Canis lupus familiaris: one gene and its partner. Each later gene encodes a partner of the first gene's protein in a complex. Links are inferred from orthologs where the notes say so. Each region holds a gene or a part of one and is shown in the gene's direction. Other genes may lie near its edges.

Region 1 (4,412 bases):
GGGAAGAAGTGACAGGAGTCTCAGGAACCTTTGTCCTGTGATGGGTCATAAACCAGAATGAGAGATTTGCAGAGTGTGAATGGACTGGACCAGGAGATCAGAGAGTGACCAGGGCAGACCTGAGTCCCAGTCCCTTCACTTGCTGCTGCTGTCTCTTTGACCTACCCGTCCCACACCAGCTTTGCAAACGGACGTTCCACGGGCCTAGTGCTGGACAGTGGGGCCACCCATACCACCGCCATCCCAGTACATGATGGCTACGTCCTACAGCAAGGTGGGGCCTCAACAGGGGTCGGGGACTCCTTGGGGAGGACCTGGCCCTGACACCCCCTCCCTTTCCAGGCATTGTCAAGTCGCCCCTAGCAGGGGACTTCATCTCCATGCAGTGCCGGGAGCTCTTCCAGGAAATGGCCATTGACATCATTCCACCTTACATGATTGCTGCCAAGGTGGTGTCTTTGGGGAGCCTGGGGCACTTACCCTATGACAGTTGACCCACTGACCCACTAGATATCAGAGAGAGGAGTGTCAGAGCCCCCAGAGGACCCTGAGTCCAGTTCCTTAAGTTATAATCAAAGCATCAGAGATTGGACAGGCTGAAGGACATGGCCAAGGTCATACAGCTAGCTGGTAACAGGAGGTATGAGGGCCAGTGCGGCAGACCCAGGTTCAAGGTCTGCCTCTGCCATGTAAGAGCTGTGTGACCTAGAGCAGATCAAAGCTTTCCGAACCTCAGTTCCTTCCCCTGTGAAGTGGAATTACAGCATATACGGCAGCTGTGAGTGTTGAGACACTGAAAGGGTCCGCCCTGGACTCCCACATGGAATGTGGCTCAGGAAAGGCTACTTCTTTAAGGTTCTCGTCTCCCACTGTATCCCCCATGCCCTCAGCTTTCTCCAGCCTAGGCCTTTCAGATCAGCTGTACCTGTTGCATGAGTGGCAAACATGGGGACAGGCTCTCCCCATTCTCTCTCCTTTGAGAGAGAAGGAGGAGGAACACCTTTTGTGGGCAGCAGAGCAAAGAACTCAGTGCCTGTTAGCTGCAGGAGCATGGGTGTGGTCAGGGTGGGCTGGGCAGGAGTGGAGTGGGAAGGATGCTCATAGGCTTTGTGCCCCCAGGAACCTGTACGGGAGGGCGCCCCTCCAAACTGGAAGAAGAAGGAGAAGCTCCCCCAGGTTTCCAAGTCCTGGCATAACTACATGTGCAATGTGAGGAGACGGTCCCCTGAAACAACCCCTATCCCTCCCAGCTCCTGCTCCCCTGCCATGAGTAGAGGGGAAGGGACAGAGAGGCCCTGCAGGGGTGGCTTGGGGGTGCTGAGGAGGGACACCAGGCCCTCACTGCTCACCGTGTCCCTGGGTCCCCAGGAGGTGATCCAGGACTTCCAGGCCTCTGTGCTACAGGTCTCAGACTCTCCCTATGATGAGCAGTAAGTGAGCCCATGGCTGAGGGATGGGACAGGGGGCAGGCCTGGGATTCAGAGGGTACCTCTGGTCCCCTGTGAGCACCCCCAGGCAGAGTCTCTTTTTCCTGGGCAGGGTGGCTGCGCAGATGCCCACGGTACACTATGAGATGCCCAATGGCTACAACACAGACTATGGTGCTGAACGGCTCCGCATTCCCGAGGGCCTGTTCGATCCCTCCAATGTCAAGGTTGGGTGGGTGGAGGGTATTGAGGTGGGGACTGGTTGGATTCCCTGGATGCCAACGTTGGGTGTGAGGGAGGCTGGGAAGGATCACTGGGGTCTGGGGAGAGAGGGCAGAGGCCCAAAACCCAGATCACCTTTCTTGGCAGGGCCTGTCGGGGAACACCATGTTGGGTGTGGGCCACGTGGTGACCACCAGCATAGGCATGTGTGACATCGACATTCGCCCGGTGAGGCCCAAGCCTGTGTCTGGGCCCAGGGGCCCAAAAGTAGTGGGGAGACAGGGAGGGGCTGTGCCCTGAAGGCACACTCCTCTCTGCACTCAGGGCTTGTATGGCAGTGTCATTGTCACCGGTGGAAATACCCTGCTCCAGGGCTTCACTGACAGGCTCAATCGGGAGCTTTCCCAGAAGACCCCACCGGTAGGAGCCCTCCCCCAACAGGGTCCTGGATTCCTGTCCTGGCTTAGCTCTCCAGGACCCAGTCCTTCCTCCTTCCTCAACAGCAAGTGTTCTGGCCACCAGAGCAGACCCCTCCCCCTGCGGCTTCCCAGTCTTCCCCACTTCTAGCCCTCTCCCTTCCCAGAACCCAGGTGTCTGCTTCCCCCAGCCCCTCTTTCCCCCCAGAGCATGCGGCTGAAGCTCATCGCCAGCAACAGCACCATGGAGCGCAAGTTCAGCCCCTGGATTGGGGGCTCCATCTTGGCCTCACTGGTGAGAGGAAGGGGCCTGGCCTCGCACTGACTGTGGGAACCAGGCAGACCCAGACATCCCATCCCCTTGTCCGCCTCCTTATTCATTCATTCAACAAACTTTTATTTTTGAGAAAGAGTAGGCTCCCAGAAGGGTGAATGCTCCATCAGGACAAATCAGGGAGCAGAAGGACAGGAAGCTGGAGAGATTAGTGGAAGTTGAGGCTATGGACGAGGCACCCACTATACTTAGCAGAAGAGAGACACTGGAAGTTTGGGGCAAAGAAGCAATGTGACAGTCACAGGCATGTTTGGGAAGACTATGTCCAGAATGAGTCTTTGGAGATCAGAGTATGAGCCAGACACAAGGGCACCTTGGGAAGAGGCTCTTTCCATTGTCCTAGAGTCACAGAGTGAAAGCAGTGAGGATGGGGTGGTGGGCAGGAGGCAGATAGAGGAGACAGGCAGGCTGGTTCTGGAGCAATAGGTGGTGAGTCCTCTCTGGACCTGCTGTGGGACACAGGCAAGATGCTGAGCAGGGAGCTGGAGATGCAAACTATATCTCATGGGTGTCAGCCACACAGACAGGACAATGGGACCATGACAGAGCAAGAAGGTCATCTCCTAGAGGGGCAGCCCCCAAGGAGACAGAAACAGGGGTCAGAAATACAGGAGGCTGACAGTGTGAATTCATCCATCCAGTTATTGTGGCCCCCCACCCTGGGTGCCTGACATGGTCCCTGCTTCAGGAGGCAGCACAGACCAGCTGCTGAGCCCATTAAGCAGGAAGTCACCTCAAAATGTGCAAGTGTTCCTTGAAGGGAGGGCCTGATCTAGTTTCAGGGGCTCTAAGGAGCATTCAAGCTGAAGATGGAAGACTGAGTAAGAACCCTTGAGGCAAAGAAGGAGAGAGGATGCTTGGGCCATGGGGAGAGGCAGGGAGACCAAAGGCAATGGGCAGATGCTGTCAGACCCAAGTTTAAGAAGCTCAATGGGGCCACAGAGTGGAGAGTGGCTTGAACAGTGGCCTCCACTGTGACTGGAGTTTGACAGGGGAGTGGGTATCAGGCTGTAGAACTGGGAGCTCATGACACAATGTGGGCAGCATCTGGATGTGAAAAGTTAGAAGGAGTCTAGGATGATGCCCAGGATGCTAGCTCCTGGCAGCTGTGTCCAACAGGAATTTAATATGAGGAGCCACATATATAACTTGAAATTTTCTAGTAGGCATATTTTATAAGAGCCCCAAGAATCTGGTGAAAGTTAAGCTTAAAAAATATATCTTATTTGGGTTGCCTGGCTGGCTCAGTCAGTAAAGCATATGACTCTTTTTTTTTTTTTTTTTTTTTAAGATTTTATTTATTTGAGAGAGATAGCCAGGGAGAGAGCAGGAGCAGGGGGAGCAACAGAGGCAGAGGGGAACCTGATGTGGGGCTCCATCCCAGGACCCTGGGTTCATGACCCGAGCTGAAGGCAGATGCTTAACCAACTGAGCCACCCAGGCACTCCGAGTGTGTGACTCTTGATCTAGAGGTTGTGAGTTCGAGCCCCATGGTGGGTGTAGAGGTTACTTAAAAACGGAGTCAGCCAGATGCCCCTACTTAAAAATAAAATCTTAAAAAGAAAAGAACATACTTTATTTAATTCATTATATTCAAGATATTTCAATGTGTGATCAATATAAAAATGAGATGTTTTACATTCTCTTTCCTGGATTTAGTCTTCAGTATCCATTGTGTATTTTATAACTGTAGAGCACATCTCAATTTGACTAGCCATGGGATGCCTGGGTGGCTCATTGGTTAAGCATCTGCCTTCAGCTCAGGGCATGATCCTGGAGTCCTGGGATCGAGTCCCACATCAGGCTCCCTGCATGGAGCCTGCTTCTCCCTCTGCCTATGTCTCTGCCTCTCTCTCTCTCTCTCTCTCTCTAATAAATAAATAAAATCTTTTAAAAAAATTTTGGACTAGCCATATTTCAAGTGCCCAATAGCCACAGTGCTCAATAGCCACTACATTCACCAGCACTAGTATAGAAAATGAGAAAGGCCACTGAAGAAGGTTTGGGCCAGCT
Region 2 (5,331 bases), on another chromosome or scaffold:
GCGAGTGGCGTCCCCAGTTTTTATCTAGTCGGGCGCTTAGCTGGCACTGGTTGTCTGGTAGAAGTGTGTATGAATGGGGAAGCAGGGGGCTCTTCCTAAAGCTGTTATTTGCAATTTTACCTAATAAAGAGGATGTGTGGGTTGTCCTCAGAGAGTCTGGGGCTCCTGATGAGAGTTATTTGGGTCCCCAGTTCTGTTCTGCTACTGGCCGCAGCTCAGGGGAGCTACTCTGTCTCCTTACCTCCCTCCGGGCCTGGAAAAAGGGGTCCACCCTTGGGGCTGAGGCTGGGGGCAGGGTGGAGCCTTGCCTGTGGTGAGAGTCCCTCTCTCTGTCCCCCCAACCCCAGAGTTTTACAAAGAATTGGCCTGGGTCCCTGAGGCACAGAGGAAACACACAGGTAGGGATGCCTCCCTCTGCCCCTATTTCCCCAGCAGCCTCTGACTAGGTGTCCCTGGCTGCCTGTGGCAACCCCTGCCTGCTGTCTTTCAGCCAAGAAGGCACCTGATGGCACTGTCATCCCCAACGGCTACTGTGACTTCTGTCTGGGTGGCTCCAAGAAGACTGGGTGTCCCGAGGACCTCATCTCCTGTGCTGACTGTGGGCGATCAGGTGATACCCCCACCCGAGGTTGCCGGGGGCCTGGGTGGAGGGCACACCAGGAATCTAGATCTGGAGGATGGGAGGTGGAGAGGCGCGGCCTGGTGGGGGGAACCCAGGGGTGGCGCAACGGATTCCACTGCTGAGGACTGTGGGAAACCCAGAGGGGTCAGAGAGGCTCTGGGATGTGGTTGTCATGGCATTGGTGGTGGTGGCCTGTGCTTATCATGGCACGAGGAGTGGTGAAGGATGGTTGCCCCGGCATCGTGGGGAGTGGACTGTGATAATGAGTCATGGATGGCCACTGTCGGGGTCCTGTGGATAACCGACGGCGCTTGCCGTGGACTTGTGGTTAATAGAATGTGGTTTCCCAGGGTGGACTTGTAGGTAATAGACTGTGGTTGTCTCAGCACAGTGGGTAATGAATTGTGGTTGTCATGGTATTACGGGTAGTGCGATGTGGTTGTCATGGCGACTGGGTAGCTGTTGTGGCACCGGGGTAGTGGCCAACGGGGGGGTCTCTGCGCTGGGGTAGCGGGACGGCCAGCGGGTTGGCATCGCACGGTATTGTCACAAGCAGTTTGGCGGCCAGGGTATCCCGGGTAATGGGGCTCGGGCTGCAGGGAACCCAGGGTGTGGGGCCCCCCTGTGCCAGGCAGTTGCCATGGCATCGCGGCTGGGAGAACGTGGTTGCCACGTTACTGTGGTTAACGGAACCTGTTGGCCATTCTGCTGTGGGTAATGGAATGCGGCTGCCTCAGCACAGTGGTTAACAGAATGTGGCTGCCCGGGTGTTGTGGGTGGTAGAAAGTGGTTGCCACAGCACTGTGGGTAATGGAATGCGGTTGCCATGGTGTTCCGGGGAGCAGAATGTGGTTACCATGGTGGCTGGGTAGGGGCCGGGTGGCCGCGGCAGCAGCGCGGCGGCCCGGGCACCGCGAGGGGGGGGTCAGGCCCAGCCTCAGAGCCGGGCTGGCGTGGGGGCCGGGCCGTCTCCTCCCCGGGCTCAGCGGCCACCGCGGGGGAGGGGGCACGATGGCCCCTAACCGCATCCCTGCCCCTCGGCCCCCAGGACACCCCTCATGTTTACAGTTTACGGTGAACATGACGGCAGCCGTGCGGACCTACCGCTGGCAGTGCATCGAGTGCAAGTCCTGCAGCCTGTGTGGTACCTCGGAGAATGACGTGAGTGGCCGCCCGCCCCGCCCGGACACGCCCCCGGGACACGCCCCGCCCCGCCCCGCCCCGGGACACGCCCCCAGGTGACCTGCCCGCCCCGCCCCTCGGCCCGCCGGGGCGCCTCAGGCCGCTCCCTGGAGCCCCTCCCCGGGGAGCAGCGGTAACCTGTTCTGTCATTATTGTTAGTGTCCGTTAACGGGCCGGGCCCTTAGGGCTCCTCATGTCCCTGCCTCCTCCCAACCACCCTCTGAGGTAGGTGCCCTGTTCCCACTTCACAGAGAAGAAACCCAGCTCAGGGAGGGGAAATGACTTGCCCGAGGTCACCCGTCTAGGAAATTAGTAGAGCTGGGACCCGAACCCACATCCAGTGCTTCCAGAGCTGGTATCAGACCACCTGGGTGTCATTTTAAGTGTTCCGCAGACTCTGTCAAACCCAGACGACACACTGCAAACGGACAGACCACAGGGGTGTTCAGCTTGGCCAAGCCGGGTTCTGCAAAGATCCCGTGATGCAAAGACCTTCTCGGAGCCCCTTCTCGTGGGAGGGACCAACCTTCCCCAGCCCCTCTGACCTACCCCTGCCCCAGCCCCCCCACCCCGGTTTCTGGTGCCCGTGCCCCCAGGGTGCCAGCTGGGCGGGTCTCACCCCCCAGGACCAGCTGCTGTTTTGTGACGACTGCGATCGGGGTTACCACATGTACTGCCTGAGTCCTCCCATGGCGGAGCCCCCGGAAGGTGAGAGAAGAGGTGGGCACCACACGGGCGTGGGCAGGTCGAAAGGCGGGCTTCCTGCTGGAGAAGACCAGGCACTGTGTGTCTGCTGGTTGGGAGGGAGTTGGGCCAGCCCTTCCAGGACCTGGGCCTAACCCCCTGTCCTCCCCCACAGGGAGCTGGAGTTGTCACCTCTGTCTTCGGCACCTGAAAGAAAAGGCCTCTGCCTACATCACCCTCACCTAGGCCTGGCTCTGGCTCACCTGGACCTCTGGGGTGGTGCTGACCCATCTGCCTCTCCGAGCTCCTCCACACCCTCCCCGCCCTCAGTGCCCCACCGTGGGAGGGGGAGAGGGGGAGCCCGAGAGGGGGCTGGGCCCCCCCTTCCCTCTGTGCAAGTGGAATGTTTGCCCTGTGGGTTGGTGGGCCTAGCAGGGCTCCTCTCCCTTCCTCCCTCCTTCCCCATCCCTTGGCAAATGGGCACCAGGGGCTTCTGCTCCCCTCAAAGCCATACCCCGCCTCTGGGCGGGCATGAGGGGCGGCAGATGCCAGCCCGGGGCACGGACACAGCGTTTTTCTAAAGAAAAAGTCAAAAAGTTAAAAAAAAAAAAGAAATTAATATATACAAAGAGTCCTCTAAGGCCTGGCCGGGTGGAGGGGGCACTGCTGAGCATCCACTGGGCACCAGTCTATGCGGCTTCCTGCCGAGCAGCCCCGCCCCCCGGTTTCCGGAGTTGCAGCTGTCCCGCCTCCGCACCCAAAGTGGGCACCATTCCCCCGTGAGCCCGGGCAGGTGGGTGTGGTGTCCACCCTCGCCCCGCCCTGGTGCCCACCGTGGATACTGCATGACGTGAACCATGGTTTTGAACTCCGCTCCCGCTCCCTCCCCGAGCGCCCCGCCCTGCCCGCTCCGTGCCCGCCGTGGCCGAGGTCGGGCCGCCGTGGCGGTGTGGGGGGGGCACCCCCCAGGCTGGTGGGCGTCGGCTGGGGGGGCCAGGCGGGCCCCCGCCCAGCGCCTGCTGGAATGAGAAGCACAGACTCTGCACCGGACTGGTTTTTCCTCCTTCCCCTGCTCCAGTTCCCCACCGGCCAGGCCGGGCTGCCCCCTGCCACCCTCGCTGGCCATTTTGGGGGTAGCGAGGGGGCGTGGTTGTTTCTCGTGGTTGTGTGTGTTTGTTGTTCGGGTTAAAAAAAAGGGAAATTGAGACTGCAAGTGGGGGAGGTGGTGGGCTTGGGGGGTCTCCCCCGATCCACGCATGCCCCCCCTTGTACACGAGTCTCCTTTATTGCCTGCCTCTGCTGTGAATTAACTTGTTCTGTGTATTAAACTGGGCCTGACCCCTCTGCCCGCGACCGCCTCGTTATGCGGGCTGGATTGGGGGGCATCGCCAGGAAGGGGAGACGGGGGCCTCGTGGAGGGAGAGCTGACCGAGGTTAACAGCTGGAGCCCGCCCGACCTCCATCTCCCTCCAACTCCCCCCCCACCCCGCCTTTCCCTGGCTTTGTCCCAGCTCCTCCCAGCCTCGCCGGAAAGGAGAAGGGGGATGGGGTGGAGGGGGCTCCCGCCCAGCCAGCTGTGGTTGCCCTGGCAACGGGCTGCTGCAGCTGCAGCGATCGGCAGCGAGGGGGGAGGCGGGGGCTGGGGCCTGGGGGGAAGGGATGGGAGGATGAAGGGGCCGCCCTCCGGGGCTAGGGGAGGGGGCAGGGTGCCAGGAGCACCTCCTGTAATCCCCCGACCTCACCTGGGGTCCCCCGTCCCAGGGATGCTGGGAGGGAGGCAGATTTGGGTGAGGCGGGATGAGGAGAGAACCAGGACACCGAGAGATCAGCAGAGAGACACACATTTATAGAGAATCGGAACAAGAGCAGGAGAGGGAAGAAATAGATCTGGAGAGAGGTAGATGAGCGAGCCACGGGGGGGGGGGGGGGGGGCGACAGAAGAGATGGAGATTCAGTGGGAGAGGAAATAATAGTAAGAAAAAATAGCAGACACACCAGGGAGAGACAGGAGGAGGAGGTAGAGAGTGATCTGGAGAAGCAGGAGAGCCGATGAGGGGAGGCAGAGAACCAGGCACATACATTAGGAGAGAAGAGGGGAGGCACACTGGGCAGCGACAGGCAGGATCCAGGGACGGCAGAGTCCCAGGACGCTGGCACAGAGATGAGGCTTCAGGGGGGAGGACAAAGCATTTAGGGGACAATAGAGAAATGTGGAGAGAGCCGAAGGTATGGAGGGATTCGGAGGTTGGCCGGGGACAGAGCCAGGGGTGATGGGCGCCAGAGGGAGGCTGGGGGAGGGTCCGAGAGGGCGCCGGCGGGGATACGGGATGTGGCCGAGGAAGTCGAAAAGTGGGGCAAGATGGGGAAGGGACCAGCAGGGCACAGTGTGGGTGCGAGCGGCGGGGCGTTGGACGTCGGTGTGTGTCACAGGCGCCAGGAGAGGATGTGAGAACATCTTGTTCCACCGTTCCCATGCTGGTGGGGGGAGGGCGCACGGGGAGAGGATGGGGCCTCAAGGAGGGCGGGGACTGGAAGAGTGTCTGGAACACTCTAGAATTTTTAGGAGATGTGGAAATAGCTGGTCCACCTCCTCTGGAAAAAGGATATATACCCGTTTTGGAAAGAGATTTTTTTGGGGGGGGGGCGGGGAGGGGAGAGGCTGAGTCAGAGAAGCATCAGGTTTTTAGCTCAGAGATGGAAGACCCAATGACAGGTGAGGGGGTGAGGTGTAGCCACCTGGCGGCCCCGTCGCGAGGCTGGCTGCTCCTCGGTCCGGACTTCCCGCAGGAGGCCAGACCTTGGATTTCACGTGCGGTTGGTTCTGAGGTTCCGAAAACCAGTCG

The links. Proteins that work in one complex are often made in the same cells at the same time.
Region 2: ACTL6B (region 1) and DPF1 share a complex: the UniProt entries of both Homo sapiens proteins name them as parts of the neuron-specific chromatin remodeling complex. The link is inferred for Canis lupus familiaris from reciprocal best matches to the Homo sapiens genes ACTL6B and DPF1.

The regions. Positions count from the first base shown.
Region 1 is NC_049227.1:9,000,244-9,004,655, forward strand, and holds part of ACTL6B (actin-like protein 6B), read left to right. Parts: intron 1-179; coding exon 180-274; intron 275-342; coding exon 343-449; intron 450-1,119; coding exon 1,120-1,209; intron 1,210-1,368; coding exon 1,369-1,430; intron 1,431-1,539; coding exon 1,540-1,654; intron 1,655-1,796; coding exon 1,797-1,877; intron 1,878-1,973; coding exon 1,974-2,069; intron 2,070-2,256; exon of another isoform or gene 2,257-2,273; coding exon 2,274-2,360; intron 2,361-4,412. UniProt on the Homo sapiens protein: Involved in transcriptional activation and repression of select genes by chromatin remodeling (alteration of DNA-nucleosome topology).
Region 2 is NC_049222.1:115,605,040-115,610,370, forward strand, and holds the end of DPF1 (zinc finger protein neuro-d4), read left to right. Parts: intron 1-347; coding exon 348-398; intron 399-490; coding exon 491-610; intron 611-1,670; coding exon 1,671-1,783; intron 1,784-2,400; coding exon 2,401-2,524; intron 2,525-2,663; coding exon 2,664-2,734; 3' UTR 2,735-3,836; downstream 3,837-5,331. UniProt on the Homo sapiens protein: May have an important role in developing neurons by participating in regulation of cell survival, possibly as a neurospecific transcription factor. Belongs to the neuron-specific chromatin remodeling complex (nBAF complex).